Callithrix jacchus: one gene and its partner. The protein of the gene in region 1 binds, or shares a complex with, the protein of each later gene. Links are inferred from orthologs where the notes say so. Each region holds a gene or a part of one and is shown on either strand. Other genes may lie near its edges.

The links. Proteins that work in one complex are often made in the same cells at the same time.
Region 2: TERT (region 1) and DKC1 share a complex: the UniProt entries of both Homo sapiens proteins name them as parts of the telomerase holoenzyme complex. The link is inferred for Callithrix jacchus from reciprocal best matches to the Homo sapiens genes TERT and DKC1.

What each region holds. Positions count from the first base shown.
Region 1 is NC_133503.1:204,807,460-204,812,201, forward strand, and holds part of TERT (telomerase reverse transcriptase), read left to right. Parts: intron 1-918; coding exon 919-1,099; intron 1,100-1,737; coding exon 1,738-1,917; intron 1,918-2,356; coding exon 2,357-2,512; intron 2,513-4,742. UniProt on the Homo sapiens protein: Telomerase is a ribonucleoprotein enzyme essential for the replication of chromosome termini in most eukaryotes. Active in progenitor and cancer cells. Inactive, or very low activity, in normal somatic cells.
Region 2 is NC_133524.1:150,505,785-150,511,202, forward strand, and holds the start of DKC1 (H/ACA ribonucleoprotein complex subunit DKC1), read left to right. Parts: upstream 1-1,751; 5' UTR 1,752-1,882; coding exon 1,883-1,898; intron 1,899-3,890; coding exon 3,891-3,958; intron 3,959-4,427; coding exon 4,428-4,514; intron 4,515-4,851; coding exon 4,852-4,943; intron 4,944-5,158; coding exon 5,159-5,343; intron 5,344-5,418.

The DNA.
Region 1 (4,742 bases):
ACCGTCACTGAGCGCAGGACCTGCATCCCGGTGTGTCAGTGGCACCGTCACTGAGCGCAGGACCTGCATCCCGGTGTGTCAGTGGCACCGTCACTGAGCGCAGGACCTGCATCCCGGTGTGTCCGTGGCACCGTCACTGAGCGCAGCACCCTGCATCCCGGTGTGTCAGTGGCACCGTCACTGAGAGCAGGACCTGCATCCCGGTGTGTCCGTGGCACCGTCACTGAGAGCAGGACCTGCATCCCGGTGTGTCCGTGGCACCGTCACTGAGCGCAGCACCCTGCATCCCGGTGTGTCAGTGACACCGTCACTGAGAGCAGGACCCTGCATCCCAGTGTGTCAGTGACACCGTCACTGAGAGCAGGACCCTGCATCCCAGTGTGTCCGTGGCACCGTCACTGAGCGCAGGACCCTGCATCCCGGTGTGTCCGTGGCACCGTCACTGAGAGCAGGACCCTGCATCCCGGTGTGTCTGTGGCACCGTCACTGAGAGCAGGACCCTGCATCCCGGTGTGTCAGTGACACCGTCACTGAGAGCAGGACCCTGCATCCCAGTGTGTCCGTGGCTCCGTCACTGAGCGCAGCATCCTGCATCCCGGTGTGTCAGTGGCACCGTCACTGAGAGCAGGACCCTGCATCCCGGTGTGTCAGTGACACCGTCACTGAGAGCAGGACCCTGCATCCCGGTGTGTCAGTGACACCATCACTGAGAGCAGGACCCTGCATCCCGGTGTGTCCGTGGCACCGTCACTGAGAGCAAGACCTGCATCCCGGTGTGTCAGTGACACTGTCACTGACAGCAGGACCCTGCATCCCGGTGTGTCAGTGACACCATCACTGAGAGCAGGACCCTGCATCCCGGTGTGTCCGTGGCTCCATCACTGAGCGCAGCACCCTGCATCCCACTCTCTGTTGCAGACAGCACTTGCAGAGGGTGCAGCTTCGGGAGCTGTCAGACACGGAGGTCAGGCGGCGGCAGGAAGCCAGGCTAGCTCTGCCGACATCCAGGCTCCGCTTCATCCCCAAGCCTGACGGGCTGCGGCCTATTGTGAACATGGACTACGTCGTGGGAGCCAGAACGTTCCGCAGAGAAAAGAGGGTGACCGTCCTTTGGTTTAGTTTCCTTTTTAAACAGAAATGCGTCTGAACCCCGTGTTCGGTATCTGCTTAGATGAAGGGTGGGAGGATGGGCCACAGGTCACAGCCAGGTCCACAGCTCGGCCCAAGCCCGTTGGTGGGCACAGTGAGGTGGCCGAGGTCAGAAAAGCAGCACAGGGGGTGCTCCTGGGGCAGGGACGGGCTGAGGACCACAGGGAGCCCCTGGGCCTGGGCCTAGATGCAGTGGGGCCTGAGGTCCCAGATCCGTGTCCTGCTGTGGTGTTTCTGTGTGTGTGGGGCCCAGGGACCAAGCCACAACTGCCAGAGCCCACCGGGCACTGGGAACCCTGGGACCTCGCCCCCCAGCTCCTGTACCCACCCCTGTGCTGCTGTGGCTGCAGTGACCCCCTCAGTGTGGGGTGAGCTGGGCAGAGAGGGGTCATGTGAGGGTCCCATGTGGAACACACATGGGGCCCGCAGCACATTTCAGACGGGGCCTGGGAAGCTGTGAGGGGTTTAAGGCCCTGGGTCTGGGCGGCTGGGGACGCTGGGGTGGGGCTGCCTCTCCCCCGGGTCCCTCTGGTGGGCAGGGCACCAGCCGGGTCCGCTTTCCTGACCATCTCCATGCTGCCCTGCCAGGCCGAGCATCCCACCTCGAGAGTGAAGGTGCTGTTCAGCCTGCTAAACTATGAGCGTGCGCGGCGGCCCAGCCTCCTGGGCGCCTCCGTGTTGGGCTTGGACGATATCCACAGGGCCTGGCGCGACTTTGTGCTGCGCATGCGGGCCCGGGACCCACCACCTGAGCTGTACTTTGTCAAGGTGAGTGCTGGGGAACCCCGTCGGCAGCCCTGCTGGGCCTCGGGAGTGGCCGCCTGATTCGCACCTGTGTTGGCTGGAGGAGGTACTCCTGGGTGGGCCGCAGGGAGTGCAGTCACTGTTGGGGACACATCGGCTCCTGGGGTGGAGGCCTTGTACCCCAACTGCCCTAGGGCTCCTGCTCCCAGGGGAGGTCTCACCAGATACCATCAGGGAAGGGACTGTACTGGCTCAGCCACCAGGCCCTGGTGCCTCGAACCCCAGTCCTGAGCCAGGGGCCTCCTGTCCTGAGGCTCAGAGAGGAGACAGCCCACCTTGCCCTTGGGGTCGGGAGGGGTGGGGGCCAGAGAGAGAGAGGGGGATGCAGCCACAGCCAGGACCTGGGAGCAGAGGTGTCGTCTGCGTCACTGAGTGGATACCATCAGCCTCCTTTCTCACATAGGTGGACGTGACAGGCGCATACGACACCATCCCCCAGGACAAGCTCGCGGAGGTCATCGCCAGCATCATCAGGCCGCAGGCCACATACTGCGTGCGGCAGTACGCTGTGCTCCAGAAGGCCGCCCACGGGCACGTCCGCAAGGCCTTCAAGAGCCATGTAAGGCTCCTGTGTGATACAGTGTGTCCAGATGTGTGTGTCTCTGGGATATGGATGTGTCTAGGATGCAGTTGTCTGTGATGTGTTTCTGTAAGGTACTTCCATGATTTACACGTCCGTGATGTGTGTGGTGTGTGTGTGTCCATGGCACAAGTGTGTCTGTGGCATGTGTGTGCCCATTGTGTGTCTGTGGTGTGTGTCTCCGATGTGCATGTTTGCTATGTGTTTGCATGTGTGCTTGTGGTGTGTCACTGACGTGCATGTTTGCAGTGTGTCTGGTATGTGTGTCTGTGGTGTGTATCTCTGATGTGCATGTTTGCCATGTGTTTGCATGTGTGCTTGTGGTGCGTCCCTGACATGCATGTTTGCGGTGTGTCTGACATGCGTGTCCATGCTGTGTGTGCGGGTCTCTGATACGCATGTTTCTGGTATGTGTGCATGTATGCATGTGTGTGGTATGTCACTGACATGCATGTTTGCCGTGTGTGTGTGACGTACATATGTATGTCTGTGATGTACATATTTGTGGTGTGTGTATGTCTGTGACGCGTGCCTGTCCCTGTTGTGTTGTGTGACTGATGTGTATGTTTATGCTGTGTGCATGTGTGTGATGTGTCACTGACATGCATGTTTGAAGTGTGTGTCCGACATGTCTGTAATATACATGTGTGGTGTGTGTGTCTGCTACACATGCGTATGCATGCTATATGTCTGTGGAGTGTGTGGCGTATTACTGACGTGCATGTTTGCGGTGTGTGACACGTGCGCCTGTGATTACATGTGTGGCATGTCTGTGACACGTGTGTGTGCATGCTGTGTGCTGTGTAGTATATTACTGACATGCATGTTTGTGGTGTGTGCATATGTGTGTCTTGTGTCACTGATGTGCATGTTTGTGGTGTATGACGCGTGTCTGTGATGTACATGTGTGGTGTGTGTCCCTGACACGTGTGTGTGAGTGCTCTGTGTCTGTGGTGTGTGGTGTGTTACATGTGTGTTTGCAGTGTCTGTGTCTGTGGTGTGTCACTGACATGCGTGTTTGCAGTGTGTCAGGTGTATGTGGTATATTACATGCGTGTTTGTGGTGTGTGGTATATTACTGACATGCATGTTTGCAGTGTGTGCACGTGCAGTGTGTGCATGTTTGTGGTGTCTGCACGTGTATGTGGTGTCACTGACATGCATGTTTGCGGTGTGTCAGGTGTATGTGGTATATTACTATCATGCATGTTTGTGGTGTGTGGTGTATTACTGACATGCGTGTTTATGATGTGTGCATGTGTGTTGTGTATTACTGACATGCATGTTTACGGTGTGTGCACGTGTGTGTGGTATATTACTGACATGTTTGTGGTGTATGGTGTATTACTGACATGTGTGTTTACAACGTGTGCACGTGTGTGGTATATTACATGCGTGTTTGTGGTGTGTGGTGTATTACTGACATGCGTGATTATGGTGTGTGCACGTGTGTGTCTGTGCTGTGTGTGTGGCCCTCAGCCTCCCCCTCCCTCTGCTGGGCATGAAGCTCACCATTGTCCTTGCACCCTCAGGTGCTGGTGTGGTGAGTTCTGTGTTCAGGGTCCTCCCATCCAGCACGAGTGCCCCTGTCCTGTCACAGGGCTGGGCCTCAGAGCCTGCAGGCTGGGTTTGGGAGGAGAGGGATGCTGGTGGTACCTTCCTGACGCCCCTGGCACCCCCCAGGACTCTAGCCTGGCCTGTGCCAGCTCCACAAGAGATGGGAAGGCCTACACAAGCCTCGCTGCCCCCGGACACTCTCCTCCCAGGGCGGCCGGGGCCTTGGGGTTCAGCCGGGGTACAAGGGGCCCTGGGCTTGGGTTCCCACCCAATGATCATGAGCATGCTGGAGTATGGGGCTTAGCCCCCCAAAGCAGTGCCAGGCTGGGGATGCAGAGGTGGAGACGTGTCCTCAGGTTTCGCTCTGGGGAGAAATACGAGTGAAAACCTGCCTGGACCTTTTCTTCCCGCTTTTTCTTGAGACTGTTGCAGGGATTTGCAAATCTCATGTGTGACTCAGCAGAATTTTAGACTTGTGGAAACCTGATGGCCGCCACCTGCGCCCAGGTGTAGACAGTCACCAGAGTCAAGGAGACCCCCTTCTCCCAGCAGAAGCCGCTGCCCCTACAGTGACCCTGGTTCCAATCTCCAGGTCTCCACATGAGTGAGATCAGATGGGAGGTGGTTTCTGGGGTCCAAGCCTCAGCCATGC
Region 2 (5,418 bases), on another chromosome or scaffold:
TATATCACAGTCATTCTGTTTCAGTAAATAACTACAGCAAGCCAGGAGCTTTTGCTCCTGGTAAATTATTATACTTTTGTGTGTAGAGGGCTGAGCTTTAAGTTTATTTCAAATTCCAGAGGGCTGAACTGTGAGTCTCTTACTAAGGCGTGGAAAAGGCTCTGTGTAGCATACTAATAGGTTATGCCATCTCCAGAAAATGGCCCACTGAGTATTGTGCTTCTTTTTTAGCAAGCAGAGGGTTCCAGGTAAGGCAACCTGTCTTTCTCTTTGGAGGGACCATCTCAACATGTCTCAGCCCACTGGATGCCCAGAAAGTTCACTGAGGTGTCACCTCCCTGAATTTTCAAGGGGCTTATCTCTCACCTTGTGGTGAGACATTTGCCACTTCCTATGCATCAACATGATGTCTGGGGGTACAGTGAGATGATCAAATCAGTTCCCAGGGACTCAATTATGATAATGTGCAGAGGCTTCCTTTGATCTTTCCTTCATTTATCACCCTCAGTCCTTGAGTCAGGAAGCCCCTGTGGGAATTTTTCCAGCCACCAATTGTGTTTATTCTAAGTATGGATTCAAGAAGTGGGGAGAGAGCCACAGGGTGGCTGAGAGTGAAAGGGACATGGGCTGACTCCACTTCTGACAGTGGCATTCTACTTCCCCAGGGATTAACACGAGCTTGTGCAAGTCTCTGGTAAATGTCCATGGGTCCCAGGGTAAAGTAGGAGGCAGGCTTAAACTACACACATGTGCCTGGCCTCACTTTTACAGGCTTACCTCACAGGCTCTGGCCTGTGGACTGTCTAGATCTGGGAATTAGATGAGGCACCATGATTTTCCATTGTGGTGATTCAAGACAGGATGCCTTTAGCCAGATCTAGCGTTACAGGGGTTATACAGATCATGATGGCTTACTATAGGACACCACGATCAATTAGACAGCACCAAAGATCCCTGGGGAGAAATCAGTTTGGTTCCAGCTTCCAGCCTTGCTGCCTATCATGATACCCAGGCTCATCCTGTTTCTATGAGATTTAGTGCCAGTGCTTTGTCTCTGCTGTTTGGCGTGAAGCCTGGTCGTAGAGTTCCAATTGAGGTGTGCTGTGACAGTAAACACACACACACCGGAAAGACCTTGTGGGGACCAAAAAAAAAAAAAAAAAAAGCAAAATATCCCATTCATGCAGTTGTGTTTTGCCTATATGCGGAAATGATAATATTTCGGATACGCTGGGTTAAAAAAATTCATTATTAAAATCAATTTCACCCTTTTCTTTTCACTCTTCTTCCATGTAGCTGCTAGAAAAAGTCAACATGTGGCTCATGCTCTGCTCCTAGTGGCCATCCGCTCTAGCTGGATGGGAACTGCAAGCAGCAAAAGGCTTTCAATCTCTCCGAGCCTCAACATGTTCACTTTTGAATCAGGACTAATCCGACACCAAGCTGAGAGAGTCAGTGTCAGAAAGCAAAGAGCTACCGACTACGCAGCGCTCAGCCGTGAGCCCAGGCGCAGGCGCGGAGGTAAACCCGGAGGTAAACCAACGACAGCTGGGGACACGCCCACAGACTCCGGGCTGCCGGGGAGGGCGGCACTAGCGCTTCCAGCCGGGGCTAATCGGGCTGGTAGAGGCTCGAGGCGCAGGCGCGGTGGCGCGACCCTGGCTGAGCCAGCCAATCGCATTGCGCGGAAGATCCGCGCGCCCGAGCGCCTCGGGTCGCCCCGGGAAAGGCCCCGCCCCCTCCCGCTCCGCGGCGAGGCACGCACAGGGTTGTGCGCGGAGGGGCAGGCCTAGCAGCGCGGCCTCACTGGACTGTGGCGGCGGGAGTCTGCGGTAGTTCTGCGGGCCGTGGACCAGGCGGTACGCACGCGGTGCAGGGTAACATGGCGGATGCGGAAGGTAAGGGCTGCAGGCGTCCGGACTATGCTAACTCCAGGCGACTCGGGGAGCCGGGAATGGGGGATGGTATACGGGCCCGCGCCCACCTCCCTCTGATTCCCGCCGGCGCGTCGGCCTCTTAGCCGACCGGCCTTGTCGCTCGGCCCTGGCTCGATGGCGACGGCGGGAGTGGGAGTCCCTCGCGGTGACTTGGTATGGCGGGGCTCGGGCCTCTCACCGATGACAAGCCTCCCTGGGGTCCGGGTTTTCGTCGTAAGACATCTGTCGTGCTGCCCACCCCGTGGTGGCGGGGGACGTGGCAGCGTTTGTGCTGCTGCTAGCCCGGACGCCGCCAGTATAGCTCCATGCGACGATGGGAGCAAGGGTGGTGGAAACGGGCCGAGAAGAAAAGGAGCCGGGGGACCCGTGAGCAGACATAGCTCCGAGTTGCAAGAAACTTCTAGAGGCCACAAGCTGGCGGGGAGAGTCGAGTGGTCGCTTATGGAACTGTCGGGTCCCCTGCGTGAGCGCTTCTGTGGGATGTTTAAGCCCTGCCATAGCCACGTGGTGAACCGGAAGGCAGTTACCCAGCCATGCGACCCATATATTTGGCCTTACACACTTTGTTTTCTCGCTGACCTACGGATATACTTTCTGAGAAATGGGTCGTTAGGCAATTTCATCGTTGTGGGAACGTCGGAGTGCTCTTACACAAACCGAGATGGCATAGGCCACTACACACCTGGCTGTATATGGTGAGCCTATTGCTCTAGGCTCCAAACCTGCACGGCATGGTACTGTGGGGAATGTTATAGGCAGTTGGAGCACAGTGTCGAGACGATGTGTATTTAAACATGTCTAAGCGGAAAAAGGACAGTAAAAATATAGTACAGGGCTGGGCATGGTGGCTCATGCCTGTAATCCCAGTACTTTGGGAGCCCTAGGCAGGCCGATCACCTGAGGTCAGGAGTTCGACACCAGCCTGGCCAGCATTGTGAAACCCTGTCTCTACTAAAAATACAAACGTTAGTTGGGCATGGTGGCGTATGCCTGTAATCCCTGCTACTTGGGGAGGCTGAGGCAGGAGAGTCGTTGGAACCTGGGAGACAGGTTACAGTGAGCCAAGATTGTACCACTGCACTCCAGCCTGGGCAACAAGAGTGAAACTGCATCTCAAATGTGTATGCATATATAGTACACAAGGTTAAAAGTGGTGCACCCGTAGAGGAGAGCACTTGCCATAAATGGAGCTTGCTGGGCTGGAAGTTGCTTTGGTTGAGTCAGTGACTGAATGTGAAGGCCTCAGACATTACACTACTGGAGACTTTATAAAGTCTGTACACTTAGGCTACACTAAATTTATAAAAATATATTTTTCTTTTTTTTTATTGCATTTTAGGTTTTGGGGTACATGTGAAGAACATGCAAGATTGTTGCATAGGTACACACGTGGTAGTGTGATTTGCTTCCTTCCTCCCCTTCACCTATATCTGGCATTTCTCCCCATGCTATCTCTCCCCAACTCCCCACCCCCCGCTGTCCCTCCTCTATAAAAATATATTTTTCTTCAGAATAAATCAGCCTTAGCTTACTGTAACTTTATAAACTATTTCCTTCAACCCTTGTAATAACACCTAGCTTAAACACATTATTCAGTTGTACATAATTATTTTCTCTGTTTATATCCTTATTTATAACTCTTCTACTTTTTTTTTGTTTTTACATTTTTTTTTTTTGTTAAATAAGACACAAACACACACAGTAGCCTTGACGTACACAGGTCAGGATCATTAAGACATCACTAGGAGACAGGAATTTTTCAGCTCTGTTATAATCTTATGGAGGCCACCGTCACATTTGCAGTCTGTCCTTGAACAAAACATTATGTGGCATGTGACTGTAATTGTAGACCTAAGATCCATTTCCTACCCCTAATTTTGGTTTTTATTTTAAACTCATGCTCATTTATTCTTGGGGAAAATTCTCAAATCCTGTGTTTGTTTTTTTTTTTAGTGATTATTTTACCAAAGAAACATAAGAAGAAAAAGGAGCGGAAGTCATTGCCAGAAGAAGATGTAGCCGTGAGTAGTAATGTGTTTGACTTCACTTTGACTAAAAAGAAGGTTTACTTAAATAACAAACTAAAGGAAAGAAGTGTTTTAAAGGTTTCCAAGAATGGGCCAGGATTGGTGGTCATTGTGTAGATTTGAAAAAGTACTGATATGACAGCCCCAGACAGTCCAAGTCTCCTTCAGGCATAGCTTACTAAATGGTGCTGGGCTTCCCAACTGCTGTCTCTGAATTTCTCTTCCTTATCCCACCCACAGACCCACTATCCCCCTTTCTCTTTAAATTTTTGGACCCATCTTAGTGGCATTTCACTTCCCCTCTGTACTCCTGGTTCATTTCTTCTCTTTCCCCTGGAGGTCCCACTGAAAAGGCATAGAAAGCCTTACTTTCTATTTAAAAGGCACACATTTCCGTGGTAGCAATGGAATTATTCAAAATCGGGTGGGAAGTCTAATAGGTTATATTTCTCTTCTGTGGAAGGAAATACAACACGTTGAAGAATTTCTTATCAAACCTGAATCCAAAGTTGCTAAGTTGGACACGTCTCAGTGGCCCCTTTTGCTAAAGGTATGTGGTTAAGATCAGGCATCAGGTGAATGTCTGCTTTTATGTTATTTCCAAGTGTTAAACAACTGATAGTGTTTAAAGCAGGGTTCCTTAAGGTATCTGAAATGAAGAACCAAGTTTAAAACAAATTGCAATACACTCAACACTGTTGTAGAATACAACATATGTCACCACCACAATATTAGATTGCTAAGTTTGTAAACAATTAGTTCTCAGTTTTTGTACTTACTCCGTCTTGCCGACCTATGCCAATTTGTGGGCCGCATAGTGCTGCTGACTCGTTTTACATGTGTTCGTGACATGTTACTTTGTTTTGTGTTGTGTCGTCACTTTCTAGAATTTTGATAAGCTGAATGTAAGGACAACTCACTATACACCTCTTGCATGTGGTTCAAATCCTCTGAAGAGAGAGATTGGGGACTATATCAGGTAAGTGTTGGGAGGAGGCACTGTTGAAACTTACTTTCTTTTGAAAATGATGCTTTCACACCAGCTATTCAAGAAGATAGTAGCATGTCAGAATAGCTTTGTCCTGAATATATAACCTGTACCCACAGTGAATTCTTTTTCTTTTTGACTCTTCAGATTTGTTGTTTCATTGGAACACACGAGTGGGTGATACATTAATTTTTTTTTAATTCTAGGACAGGTTTCATTAATCTCGACAAGCCCTCTAACCCCTCTTCCCATGAGGTGGTAGCCTGGATTCGACGGATACTTAGGGTGGAGAAGACAGGGCACAGTGGTACTCTGGATCCCAAGGTGACTGGTTGTTTAATCGTGTGCATAGAACGAGCCACTCGGTTGGTGAAGTCACAACAGAGTGCAGGTATATGGGGGAGGGAGGGAAGGACTGGCTAGAGTCCAAAGCTTTCTGCATTTTCTTTCTGCGTTTTGCCTGATG